Danio rerio: one gene and its partners. The protein of the gene in region 3 purifies or fractionates together with the protein of the main gene of each other region. This does not show direct contact. Links are inferred from orthologs where the notes say so. Each region holds a gene or a part of one and is shown on either strand. Other genes may lie near its edges.

Region 1 (5,102 bases), on a different chromosome or scaffold from region 3:
CTTTGGAAAGTTTTGACATGCTTTGATATAGTGAATCTGATCTAGAACTATTAAAAATAATAATTGTTTAACAATTAGGGTAAGACTTCGGAATGAAGTTGTACAACATGAACAAACAATGAACATTACAGTATTTATTTATCTGTGTTAATGTTAAAGTCAATGAATGCGACAAATGATTAACTATAGTAACTTAAAAAATGTAAAATTATAGTAACTTAAAAAATAAATTATAAAAAACTTTCAAAAATGCTGTACATGTATTGTTATCATGAGTTCATGTTTGTAAATACATGATGGTAAAGTGTGACCGTAATTAGCTTTTATGAGCTCATATTATTATGAGTTATGGTAGTGCATTGGGTACATTTGAGAGCTGTTGGTTCATGGTTGGTTCATGTTGGTTCTGACCTGGGTCATGCCCTGATCCTACTTACCTTTCTACACTTGATCAACCTAAACATCTAGACGCACGCACACGCACACGCACACGCACACACACACACACACACACACACACACAGACATAGACACAGACACACACAGAGACACACACAGACACACACAGACACACACAGACACACACAGACACACACAGACACACACAGACACACACAGACACACACAGACACACACAGTAAGTAAACGCCCAAAAGAAAGAACTTAATTAGCATATCGTCACCTTAGAATTATATAGTTCCATCTGACATTTTTGTCAAAATTGTGTTATTAACATATTCTTATTAAATGACAATGACTTATTTACATTATGGGATGTTTTTTTATAAGTTGTTTACATTTTAAGACTTTTTATTTACAAAAAAAATGTTACACACATACTGTTTGCTATGGAATGCAAAAACTTTGATGCTCAATATCTCAAAATCATTCAGAATGCAGATAGAACCTTATCTATCTGACGATATGTTCCCCAATAGCCCTTAAATTGTCTAGAGAAAGACAAGCTGTTGGTTCATGGGAACCAATTCTGGCCTGGGCCATGCCCTGATCCTACTTACCTTTCTACACTTGACCACCCTATCCATTTAGTCAAACACAAACAAGAAAAAGCCTAAAAGAAAGAACTTGATTAACACACCTTCCCCTATACCCCTTAAATTGTCTAAAGAAAGACAAGCTATTAGTTTATGGGAACCAAGTCTGGCCTGGGTCATGCCCTGATCCTACTTATACTTCTACACTTGATCATCCTATACCAGGGCTATTCAATTGGCAGCCCGTGGGCCGAACCTGGCCACCGAGGCAATTTATTCTGGCCCTCCAAATAGTGCAAATAAGACATGAAAAATAAATGTAGTTAATTCGAAAAATGACGCTATAGTTATGAAGTGACGTGCGCCAAGCAAGTGGGGCAAGCAGGATGCAATGATTAGCCGATTTCACTATTAACTGCACTTGAATTCGTCACAGTTAATTAATCGTAAAGGCTTGTCAACGCCGCATTTCTGTTGCATGGAACGAAACGAAACTGCTGCAACTAAACCAAGTTATGTCAAGTTGTCAACTGTGCACTAGTTTAAAGTTCCATGTATGTACACCGAGGCTAATACGCACTCACCGGATTAACTATAGCAGTGGCCAGTCCCATAACAAGTCTTTTCAGCTTGCAAGTTTGTTATTTTTAATGTAATAATATATGACAATATGTGCGCACAAGCGCAGCAACACACTTGCGTCTTTCTGGGTGCACACAGTAGAAAACATCTTACGGTGAGAGTTGTGCGTGCCTTTCAGTGCAATGTTAACAACATATATGTTAGACGAGTTATTATTAAAATGATTGTGCTGTATGTATGAACGCAGAAGGCAACAACGAGCCTGATCTCATGAGAAAACGTAAGTATTTTACGTTTTCCCAGTTTAGTGGCTAATTCGTACGAATTCGTACGAGTTCAGTCGTATGAAATGGTACGATCTTAAAAAGGAGGCGTGGCACCTAACCCCACCCCTAACCCCAACCGTCATTGGGGGATAAGCAAATCGTACTAAATTGTACGAATTAGAAAGGATGAATTCATACGAATTAGCCACTAAATGAAAAAGTTACGAATTGCCGTGAGATAGTGTTGCAACAACAGTTATTCTAAATAGCTACTTACCTCATATAAAGCTTGAATTTACATTAGACGTGATAACCGTGAACCCATGATTATTCTTTAGACTATATAATCGTACAACCATAATTGTGATGCAGTTTAAAAAAATAAAACATGAATGTGTCTTAAAGTAGAAAAAGCCTACTTGAGCAATGCACTGCTTTTGCTGTGCTCTGATATACAACATTTGAACATGTTTGTAAACAAGAAAAGTCTATTGTACAGTGCACTGATATTATGTAGTTTCAAAATACAACATATTCATATTTTAATGTAGAAAAAGCCAACGTGGGTGTCTTAAGGAGAAAATAAACAGCATATGGGCTCTTATATGCAGTTGTGTTATCACTCATAAAGCAAGTCATATCTCTCCGGCCCTTCATTTGGGATGCTTTTCATGAACCGGCCCCCGTGACAAACTAATTGAATAGCCCTGTCCTATACATTTAGTCAAACACAAACGAGAAAAAAACCTAAATGAAAGAACCTAATTAGCACACCGTTCCCTACACCCCTTAAATTGTCTAAAGAAAGACGAGCTATTAGTTCATGGGAGCCAAATCTGGCCTACTTATATTTCAACACTTGATCATCCTATACATTTAGACAAACACAAACAATTAAAAGCCTAAAAGAAAGAACCTAGCTGTCCTAACCTAACATAAATTGTTTAAGAAGAGACTAAAAGGCAATAAATCTGCTGTACGCCAACTCTCTTACATCTAGAAGACAACTCCTCTCATCTCATCAACTTTTCAATTATGTGTGCCTTAAAAGAAATTCAGTCCATGAACGTGTTATGCCAGATCTCTCTGCAAGAATAAGTCTACTTCTGAAGTCTGCTAGATCTCGAAGAGAACTCTTATCTCATCAAGTTGATTGCATGTGCCTCGGGAGTTCCAACTGGCAGCAGTACCAAGCATTTTGGCTGCCACTCTTGGCTACACCTTGATGTAAAGCTGGACAGACTCTCACAGACTGTCCTGTCCTGTGAATTAAGCGAACCTGAGAAGCAGCTCCACCACCCACCTTGCATCCGAACATGAGTGAGATGGTGCTGTTGGTGCAGGCCACTTTGCAGTGGCACAGCATGGGCGAGAAGCAGTCCAACTTCTTGATGCTGGGAGACATTTTCTCGCCGCTGTGGCAGCTGAGCCGATCAGCCAGCGAAGAGCCGGAGACTCGCCGGCGCGAGCGATACTTGCTCCTGCCTCTCCGGCCACCTCCTGCTCCTCCACCACCACCTCCTCCTCCTCCTGCCCCTCCACTGCTGCTGCTGCTGCCCGCTCTCACCATCCACCCTCATTCCTCGTCTCACTCCATCACGCCAGGGAAGGGACAGCCAGTCTGCTTCCTTCATCCAGCGAGTTTGTCCACACGCCCCCTTCTCCTTCACCGCTGCTCCGGTCTTCCTCAGAGCCTTTCGTCTTCTGCTTCACTGGCTTGCGAGATCCGTCCCTCCACCTTTCACAGCTGTGAGTCACGGTGGAGATGTTTGCACGGAGGCCTCATGCCGAGTGCATGCATCCGTGAAGGAACAGCTTTCGGGACCTTTTGGTCATCGCCAAGAAGACACCACACAACTGCTGCGTTCCCCCAAAAGGGAAGGTGAAGAATGCCACAGTTTGAACAACGCAGCGAGTTGTGAGGAGAACGCGGGAAGAGGAGGAGAGCTGTGAGGGGAGGGAGGGAGGGATAAAGCTGTTGCAGCGCGTGGGGTTTGTCACATGGACGTCGAGTTGGGTTGAGTCTCTCTCTCTGTCTCATCCTCGGCGTGGGTGCTCTACGTCACCCAATACATTGAGGGGAAGGCAAAAAAATAAAAAGCCAAGGCAGTAACAGTGAGATGGAGAGGAGCAGCAAATGAACATCCTCAGGGAGCACAGCCTCGCATGCAGGAGGAGGAGCGATGTTGGAGTGACTTACAGCACGTTTGCACAGTGGAGAGAAAAGGGGGAGGGGAGCGTCGAGCCTGGCCAATAAGATGACGGAATGTCATTGGCAGCTGACTGGACAGTGGATGTGACCTTCTGAGAATGGCTCCATTTCTTGATGGGATCCCTACGGTGGAGAGAGTGAGCTGGCAGAAAGATGCTTAAGCTTAATTTCTCCATTACTTCTGATTTGATTAGGCCGACCATGAAATGGTCACATAGGACAAACCGCTCGGGTCACTGGCTTTTAAGGGGCAGTGATGTTGGGGGAGGGTCGGCAATGACAAAGATCTCTGCCGTGACTTTGCTTTAGGAAATTTTTAAATCAGCAGTCAAGCTAAGAGGGATGTGGCAAAATGCTGCCATACTCGCTAATCTAATCCTCACCGCTAATAAGATCCTGTTCTCGCACAGCGTGCACATGCATCTGCTATATTCTGCCAGTGAGGCAATCCTCAAGGCCATTTAATATTAAACATTTTGGACATTTTAGTTACTTCTCTCATGCTGACCTACATAACGTGCAAAAGTCAAAGACTCTGAGCCAGTAGTACTACTAACGTCAATTACCCCTATTTTACGTACAATACTTGGGTTGTCAGTGTGCCTCACTGTCCAAAGTGTGACTCAGATCCTGCCGTTCTCGTAATGTATGCGTCACTCAGCGTGCAACACGACTAACACTGGCTAAGTCCATTCAAGGATCATCCGAATGCTCGTATGAAGCATCACGAAAACGCTCATGACACGACTGCACGGACATATAAATATAGTTGGTCTTACTTTAGAATACTATTTTTGTGGCAACAATTTCTCAATGAACGTCACAGAGTCATGAATCTGAGAAGGGAATAGAGTCAGTTTCACAAACAAGGTTTAAGGCTAGTCGAGATTAAATTGCATGTTTGAGCTGTCTCAACTCAAAATAACTTTCAGAGAGATGTCTTAAAATCTGTCAGTGTCATTTTTTTGTCTCCAGGCGCACTCCAGTAATATATTTTTCTAAGGCCATTTTAATAAATGTGGCTTAAATAGCCATGGTCCTGGCTTA
Region 2 (4,853 bases), on a different chromosome or scaffold from region 3:
CAGAGAAACTGAAAATGGAGGCATGTCTGTTGACATTCGCTACCTGATTGGGGCTTTTCTCAATATTAAGTGCACAAAGTTCATTCTTGCATCCTTTCCTTGTAAATTAAGACTTCGCAAATTTGAAAACAAACTCCTGAGGACTTGTCGGGTAAATCTTCAAAGAGAACAGTGTAGCTCTACTTTTTAACGTCATTCACATCACCCTGGCTATGTTGTTTCAATATCTTAACAATAAAGTGAAAATATGATATAAGGAACTGCCTATTTTTATTTTGGTATTAGCTAATTAACAGACACCAAAAATGTTGAGGCATCGTGTAGCTGGATATTTACAGTATATGATAATCGTCTTCACTGTATGCATAATTATAACATAATGAAGCCTATATTACTGCCTCCTTTCATTTTCAGTGAAAAATATGAAACACACCCTGTCTCTTTTGCTGAATATCAGTTTTGATAATCAATAATGGCCCCTATTAAAGTATAATACAATAAGTTTATACATTATAAAAAATAAAGGCAAGCAATCAGTCAAATGTGCAGAATCAGTTAACCTTCTTACATAAATTAATATATTAACTTATCTTTGCGCTCAGCCAAAACAAGTTACTATAGAACAAGAAATAGATTCAAAAGAAAGTCGGCGAATAGACAACAAGATTAATTAAATATCACGTTTAAAAAATATAGTGAAAGGAGTTCCAGCAGAAGATCCTTGATGAACTGTTCGATGTGCGCTGCTCTCACCTTGGGTTTTGTGCTCAAAGCACCCCCTGACTGCCTGGAGCTGGCATGTGCGCATATGCTGCAGCACATGCCAGAGTGTGTGTGTGGTCACGTGATGTGTGTTTTTAGTGGTATAGTGTGGATGGAGATCTGTTCAGAAACGCTAGGTGAAACACCAGTGTGGACATGGATCGTGTTTATTTTAAAACGCAGTTTTAAAGCTGAAACGTATTAGTGTAAACGGGGTTTTAGTCGCTGACATTATCTTTGGCAGATATGGTGCTAAAACCAGAATGACAGACAGCTGTTTCTTACTTAGAGCTGTCTATGCTAATGAGGGAGAGAACATCTCGTGTGTGTGTGTGTGTGTGTGTGTGTGTGTGTGTGGTTTTTATGAAATGGGATTATAAAAAAAAAAACTGTTTATTTTTAACATTAGAGGCTGGCTATATAATTCACACATCGTTGCCATACAACTGTCATTTAACACCTTATAAAATAATTTTTGCACAATAGGTCCACTTAAACATATTTTAAAGATTGTTAAAAACTAAAAGACACTTCCATGTCTCCATATTCGCCGTACATCTTACTAAATATCATGAGAAAATACACTTTGTCCAATTAGTTTGACTGTTATTACAATTGTGTATTTACAATACTTACAAGTACCTAATCAGAACAAGCACCCAAAATTCCAATCCTTTAATTCTGCTCGATCGAAACTGACCGGCTTGTCGTTCAGTCGACACTGTGAAGAAAAAACCCTTCTGATTGGACTACGGAGTTTAAGCGTGGAGGATCTTTCCAATCAGAAGCGTCGTCTCATAGGGTTGCCGGAGGCGCTGTTGAGCCACTCTCAGTCAGTCAGTCAGTCAGTCCCGAGCCTGAAACAGTCGAGCCGTAGCGACCCGTCACATAACATGACAACAATATAACGTGCCATTCTGTGAACAAAACCGCCTGTTTGGAAGTATTTATACGCTTAGTGGACATAAAGGACGGCATATGTGACTACAGAGGTAAGCTAAGCCACTCTTTCAAGTTGTTTTGGCCCTTAAAACGCGGCGTCAGTGTTGTTTGCAACAGGTTGCCTGGGAAAGAAAGCAAGGCTGCACTTCGGGAAGTGGCCAGCTAGCTGTGTTAGCTATGCAAATACTCAGCAAAACATTAAAGCACGCACTCATTTGTCTTAAATGAAGCTCTATAAACATTCAAGGGACTGTTTATAAGATGTATAAGTACTGCGTTTCGCTGTTGGTTTAGTTTACTAGGAATATCAAGCTCAAATAGCTCACGTTACAGTCTCAAAGCCTAATGAGTCGCCTACCTAGGGAGCATTTTTAGGCATCATTAGTGCGTCCAGTGTCCGAAAAGTGGCAGCTCACCAGGTCTTGAGACTATAAACCTGTGGTTTTGTATTAAGTAACTGAAAATGAAACAAAGGGTTTAAAATGGCAAAGTTGTGGATTCATTCACCTCCCTATACACAACCTGTTGAAACTGCGTGGAAGTTTCTTTAATCGATAGGTTACACGGACTGCCATGGTTTATCTACCTTCAATACAGCCATTAGGACACAAGTGTCGCATTGTTCCCTTCGCATTGGTTCAGAAATCTGATAGGGCTTCCTTTTTTATATTGTCTGTGGAATGATTACTGGAATACTGTGGATCAAACCTGACATGGAAAGGGCGTTATCGTTTTATTTTATGACTGGGAACTGCAGGTGTGTGTGTGTGTGCGTGTGTGTGTGTGTGTGTGTGTGTGTGTGTGTGTGTCAGACACCTTTATGATATAATTCTACAGTTCTGAGTTAATCATTCTGTGTTATTCATTGATTTAAAATGTAGTTATTTATTAAATTGGTCACTCAGACAGATCTGTTTACTAGACACGTTAAAGTGTTTATGTGCTTATAAAACTTGTGTTAAGTGTTCAGGTTTATTTTATCAACCTCTCTTTATACTGAAAGGCGTCTGACAGTTTGATGTGCTAGTAAAACTTGGGAATTTTGGGGAGTTTTTCTGTGTTGTAGAACTTTTCTCGTGTTGTAAATCAACTTACAGATATATTTCTGTAAAATATATACAATTACAGATATATTTCTGTGCATGCAAAACCCATCGAATTATAGTATACTTTTGTGAAGTTTTTGTTATTTGTAGTTATGCACTGGATGCTTGGTTTTTATTTTATTTTTAGTATAAATTGAAATCGCCCCAATGGTGTTTTAAATGACCTGAAAAGTATATGAATGACCAATATTAGTCTGAAAATAGGTCCAGCAGCAGCTACAGAGGAAAATATTTTTGGGGGGGAAACCTGGAAAAACAAAACTAATAAAATAAAGATTATCATTAAATGAAATGTTAATATTGAATGTTATTATAAAATATAAATTATTCTTAAATGACAAGAATTAAGTATTTTATTAAGATTAGCACAATAATATAAACAAACAGAATTAAAATAATATATATTTTTACAATTCAGTATTTAGGTTAGTACTTAACCTTAAAAAAACACATCTGGGAAAAATGACCCCTAAGTTTGAGTAAAAAAAAATGATTTAAACAAAAATTTAAGATGATGAATAATCTGTTATTTGTGATTTTAAAATTAGAATAGAATGAATAATAATAACAAATATTAAAATGAAGAGTAAATTAATAATATAAGCAATAAGGTTGAAGTAAACTCAATAGTAGCTTAATATTTTTTTCACATAGAACTTTGATTTGTAATATAGATCATTTCTCTGTATGAGGTCTTTTTTGACTATGGAAAAACTATAATGGCCTATTATGTTTTTTAGGTTGAGTTTTTCATAACAGGAATATTTTTAAAAACAATATAGCGTTGAAGTCAGAATAGGCCCCTAATTATTAGCCCCCTTTGAATTTTTTCTTTTTTTTCTTTTTAAATATTTCTAGAGCAAGGACATTTATCTGTTAATCTTTATCTGTCTGTTAATATGTTTTCTTCTAAAGAAAGCCTTAATTGTTTTAATTCGGCTAGAATAAAAGCAGTTTCTTAATTTTTTAAAAACCCTTTTAAGGTCAAATTTATTAGCCCCTTTAAGCTACATATATATATTTTTTTGATAGTCTACAGAACAAACCATCATTATACAATAACTTGCCTAATTATCCTATCCTGCCTAGTTACCCTAATTAACCTAGTTAAGCTTTTAAATGTCAATAGAAGTGTCTTGAACAATATCTAGTCAAATATTATTTACTGTCATCATGACAAATATAAAATAAATCAGTTATTAGAAATGAGTTATTAAAACTATTGTTAAAAATGTGTTTAAAAATCTCTGTTAACCAGAAATTGGGGGAAAATAATACACAGAGGGTCTAATGGTTCAGATTTCAACTTTATATGTTGTTGTTTTCTTATTTATAATAAATGAAATCAATAAAAGAGTTTGTAATGTTAAAGTCTATCAAGGTGTGATACTTGACCCTTAGACTTTATAAGTGAGTTTTTGGTGCTTCTCTGTCAAACAAAATCTTTGTAGATGTTGCTTTTTATATATAACCAAGTCTCAAAAGAACATTCCTACCAAGGCAGCATTGGTTGTGATTCATGTCTTCAATCCATTATTAAGAACACAATTGATAATCTTATCATTTCCTCAGATCACAAGCTGCATGTCAGCTGGCTGCTCTGTGTTTTTTAAAGATAAGTCTTCCCTCTGCACACTGTGATATAAATCAGCTCAGAGCTGGCTGTAAGTAACCTGTATCAGCACCACCACACAGATAACCTTTTCTATACTCTTGATGCATGTACTAAGCCAAACATCTTTTTTTAATAAAATGATTCAGCACTGTTGATGATGATAATAATAGGTTATTTATGTCAGTTTCGTTTGTGTGGCGCAGGTGTGGAGTTACTGCACAAATAAATGATGCTATAACAGATGATAGAGGATTTTGGCTCTGGATCAGATGGGTTTCTTTCAAGGAGACAGTATCTGTTTTCAGAGTAGAGTGAGAGGTGTTAATGCCAGCATACTCTAGAATCATATTACTTCACCGCCACGTTCCTTCGGAGTCTGGCCTGGCAGCCTAATGAAAACCGTTGGCCTGTCTGATGGATATATTGTA
Region 3 (4,388 bases):
TTGCTAGCAATACGCTGAGCTGCTACCTCGTGATGCACTAATATAACCGTTTAAGAAAATTGATTCTGAACCATGACGATGCAGGTTTATACAATAATCAGCAAAAACTGGGTGAATCATATGGACCCAGAGCTGAAAGGCAAGTGCCACATTATCATTCAGAACTAATGAAACTAACCTCCCCTACAATCTTAACTTAGTGTGTCTGCTGAAGTGTTTAAAATAAAAACGCTTTACTTCTACAAATTAAAAACTAGACGCGTGCTTGACGAAGAGCTAGTGACTGCTTCATTCCGTTTCTGTGTTTTAAGGGGTATAAGCTACAAAAATGTTACATTTTCATTCATTTTTCTGTTTATCCAACACCCAAACAGCGCCACAAGCATCTCCTCAGAACTGCTTTCCGGTTCAACGATTTATAAACATTCCATTCACGTATTTTCAATCAAAAGCAGACTGTTGAAATGGCGTAATCGTGACCGTATGTAACATGCTTTATGCCTCCAAATGAATCTAAACACACAGCCGACTGCCTCATTCTTCTCTATTCTTGTTGACAAAAGCTGATTTGTTTACTCCACAGAGCTGATACACCAATTACTGTAGATCACAGTGTTTTTCATCTGTAAATTCATTAAATGTAAAAAAAAAAAAAAAAAAAGAAACAGTGTCAGTTTTTAACAGCTACACTGTTTGTTTCAGCATTTCCTTGTGTTTGAAGCAAACAGCAGTTCTGAAAAGATGCTCATATCACCGATTTGCCATTTATCTATCTCTCCAAACACGTACGTTATGTATTTCTAGTTAACTTTTCCTTCTATCTTAGTGAAAGAGTGAGAAAAGTTGACTGGAAATGAGTATATCATAACCCCTTTTCTTAATTATACACCATTCTTTCGAATTTCTGTTAAACGTTTGCACTCAATTACATTTCGGTTGAGCTAGTGTTTACTCGTTTTGTGCATGGACCATAAAACACAGCCTACGATGGGACACACTGAAGGCTGCAGCTGCAATTATTTTTTTTTAAAAGCTCTTGAGGCACTTTTTTAGACATTTTCATTCAGATCACCTCAGGAGTTGAACATTGCAATGGTCCCCTTGCATATCTAACAAATCAACATCCCAAATGACAGTACATTCTTAGTAACGCACCATTACAGTGCACGTATGTGATGTCTACGTGAAAACATCCAGAGCCCGTTTCGTAGTGTTCATGCTATGAGAAAGAGGCGTGTGAAAACACTGTTAAAAAACCGTTGAGGAGGTGAGGATTTAGAAAATTTCACAAAAAGGAGAGCCAAACATGTGGCTAATCCCTGGCTGGAGAAAGGGGGTGAGAGAGCGTGGACAAAGAAGACAGATGGCAGAAGATATACAGACAAATAGAAAAAGACAGAAAGAGAGAGTTTGGGGGGGGGGGGCACAGATGAGACCCCTACTTGGGGAAGTTGTTCTGTTGCCGGCGTTTGGCAGACCTCAACTTCTCAAAGCGCGACTCCATCTCTTCCAGGACTTTAGGGGTGTACCGTACCACCAGTTTCACTGTGCCCTGAGCAGCCTTCAACAGCTCCACAGCTTTCTCGTGGTGCTCTCCTTCTACACTCTGAAAGACAAGGAGTTCTTTTTCTATTGGATCAACATTTTTATTTTTTAAATGCCTATATTGGTGTGACATAACTTATAAATGAGTTCAGTTTTTTTTAATAATCTGAAACGTGCTGTGACTTGTATTTTAAAGCAGTTTACATAATGCAGTTTACGTCAATCTGAGTGGGTGCAAAGTGTCCACATTTCGATTTGTATAGCTTTCACTTTATTTATTCACTTTATCCCTTGGTCAAACTTTATTTTGATGGTCTGTTGGTTGAATTTAAATTACATAGCAACTACAAGCCAACCATAGATATATACACTAGTTATCGCATAGGGACCCCGAGCATGCGTCAATAGCGCCGCCATATTTGTAGTGCTCCCAGGACAAGTGTCATTCAACCGCACTAGTCAAGACAGTGTTACTACGTGAAGATGCGGGACTTTAGCGCTGTCTACGGGTGTAGTAACAAAACAAAGAAAACAAAGCACAAAGGCAGAACATTTCATAGGTAAGATTCAGGTTTTTTTACGTTTTGGTATATTATGAACTTTTGTGCTAAACGGGTAGCGTTATTGATAATAATACTGTCTCTTACTGCATTCACCAAAAGGCAAAGCAGCAGCAACTCACACCTAACACTCGGCTTATGCAACTTTTGTTGAATAAAATCAGCAAACAATGCAAAAGATATATGAAAACGAGATGCTGGAAACTTGTATTATTGTCCGTTAAGTGAAGGAGTCGTTCATTCACAAATGAATCTCCCCCTCCGTCAGTATGAAAAGTGAAAGCAGGTGAGGAGGTGTGTTTCAGGACACGGATTTGATCAAATTTAACAGGGAGTATGGATAGTACATTTCCATACAAACAAACACAAGCTTTTTGTCAGAAATGCCTGTGCGATCACTGATCCATCAATATAGAAAAGTGATGTAAAATTATAATTTTCATAATTTAAAAAAGAAAATTGCATACTGACCTCCGGGAAAACTCCCGACCATAGATATTTGTGTATGTGTGTAATTCTCTGGCTCTGGATGGCCACAGTCCTCCATAGCAGCTTGGTCCCACATTTATTTAAAAGGAGCGCTACCCTGTACTAAAATGGCGGCTCAATTGACCCATTCCTTCTAATAGACAACAACAGGGTAGGTGACATCTAATGTATATATCTATGCATGCCAACTGATTCTCATTAGATTAGAAGCAAACTGTTAGGTTGGGGGTAGGGTTAGTGTAAGGTGACATGTACTTGCAAAGTTTCACATAGTAAGTTAAATGTCTGTTGAAGGAGCAATATCAACATATGAAGCAGACAATCTACTAACACTCAATAGGACCATCATCGAAAATAAAGGTTGACCAATAACTTTGTTTAAATTACATTTCTGACACCATTTATTTAAATGAGCATTTTGTTTTGATGAATAAAAAGGTCAACCAGTCAAACATTTTACATAGTGAATGCCACCACAACTTCTTTATTTTATAGGCATTTGCTCTTTTCTGTTCTGAATACTGTTATATTTAAAGGGTTTGTTAAGAAGTGAAGAGAACCAAATCCATTTTCATTGTGTGTAAATGTTGTTTATGTTAAATTCCTTAGGAGCGTATAAAAATGGTATTTAGACAGCTATGTGTAACATAATAAGGTGTAAAGTATTTTCTTGAAAAAAAAAAAATTTCACATAATTTAGTCTAACTTATATCACACCAATCCGGTTTATGTAAATTCCCTTTTTACAATAATTATTTTTAATTCTCAATTTGTTTTAAATTTTCTCAATTTTTTTCTCAAACAAAAAAAGCAAAATGAGGAAGTGCAGTACAGAATTTATTAATCTGTAATTAAATAAATAAGTGTATTCTGCACCTGTGAATTCAGATAAAAAGTTAATGTCAAGCATTTTGATCTGTTGTGTACATACCACTCCATTCACAGATAGCAGCTGGTCTCCTCTCTTCAGGCCACCGTGTCGATCAGCGATGCCTCCAGGAATGATGCGGGAGATGTAGATGGGAGAGTTTTGTTCCTTCCCACCCATTATGTTGAACCCCAGTCCCTCCTCTGTTTTTGGGAGCTCCACCACACGTGGGTGAGAATGGCCCTCACTAGCTGCAAACGCAGCCACTGTAGCCTGTAGAAAAAGAAATCAACCACTTATGGATAACAAAAAAACTACTTCTGCAAGGGATAGACATACCAAAACACACTATATTTGTTATATATAAATGTGTCACAGCTCCTTAAAACATAAAGCTAAATTTAGGATTTCAACTTTATTGACAGCATGAAATCATATTAAATTGGATTCTGAAGAATCAGGTCACAGTAAAGCGTCTTTTTCTGGTTCACAATAATAGGAATAACAAGAAAAAAATCATTTTGATTTCTAACAACAGCTTATAACTGTTTATACTGCAAGCTGGTTTGGTGAACAGACATTAAAAAAGAATACATATGTCTTCTAAATAAAAGGAGAAAATAACAACCTCCCTCAAATAAGTTGCTGATGTAATTTAGGCCATCAGTCTTGTGCAAAAGAAGGCATTACAATCAAGCTAAGCCAATCAGATAATCAGATTGACTTCCCTGTCTGTTAAGGTACAAGCTAAAATGGTTCACAGAATTTAATTCTAGTGAAGAAAGATGGCATCTTTGATGGCAAATACTTAAGAAATTTCATCTGCACAACCTCAATACATATTTGAGTGTATCTGTGTAATTGCTGTGGCGGAACCTTGTTTAGTTTTTGTTCTTCACTAATTACAGTGGAGTATACGCCTGCTG

What was found. Proteins that work in one complex are often made in the same cells at the same time.
Region 1: the proteins of lin7c (region 3) and dlg1b purify together in Homo sapiens (affinity purification with mass spectrometry; 4 studies listed by BioGRID and IntAct, counting the BioPlex papers as one, with this or other methods). This does not show direct contact. The link is inferred for Danio rerio from reciprocal best matches to the Homo sapiens genes LIN7C and DLG1.
Region 2: the proteins of lin7c (region 3) and pals1a purify together in Homo sapiens (affinity purification with mass spectrometry; 3 studies listed by BioGRID and IntAct, counting the BioPlex papers as one, with this or other methods). This does not show direct contact. The link is inferred for Danio rerio from reciprocal best matches to the Homo sapiens genes LIN7C and PALS1.

Annotation. Positions count from the first base shown.
Region 1 is NC_133177.1:5,302,636-5,307,737, forward strand, and holds the start of dlg1b (discs large homolog 1-like protein), read right to left. Parts: upstream 3,249-5,102; coding exon 3,147-3,248; intron 1-3,146. UniProt on the Homo sapiens protein: Essential multidomain scaffolding protein required for normal development. Recruits channels, receptors and signaling molecules to discrete plasma membrane domains in polarized cells.
Region 2 is NC_133192.1:35,894,019-35,898,871, forward strand, and holds the start of pals1a (protein PALS1), read left to right. Parts: upstream 1-1,605; 5' UTR 1,606-1,754; intron 1,755-4,853. UniProt on the Homo sapiens protein: Plays a role in tight junction biogenesis and in the establishment of cell polarity in epithelial cells.
Region 3 is NC_133182.1:31,951,711-31,956,098, forward strand, and holds part of lin7c (protein lin-7 homolog C), read right to left. Parts: intron 3,736-4,388; coding exon 3,526-3,735; intron 1,607-3,525; coding exon 1,439-1,606; 3' UTR 1-1,438. UniProt on the Homo sapiens protein: Plays a role in establishing and maintaining the asymmetric distribution of channels and receptors at the plasma membrane of polarized cells.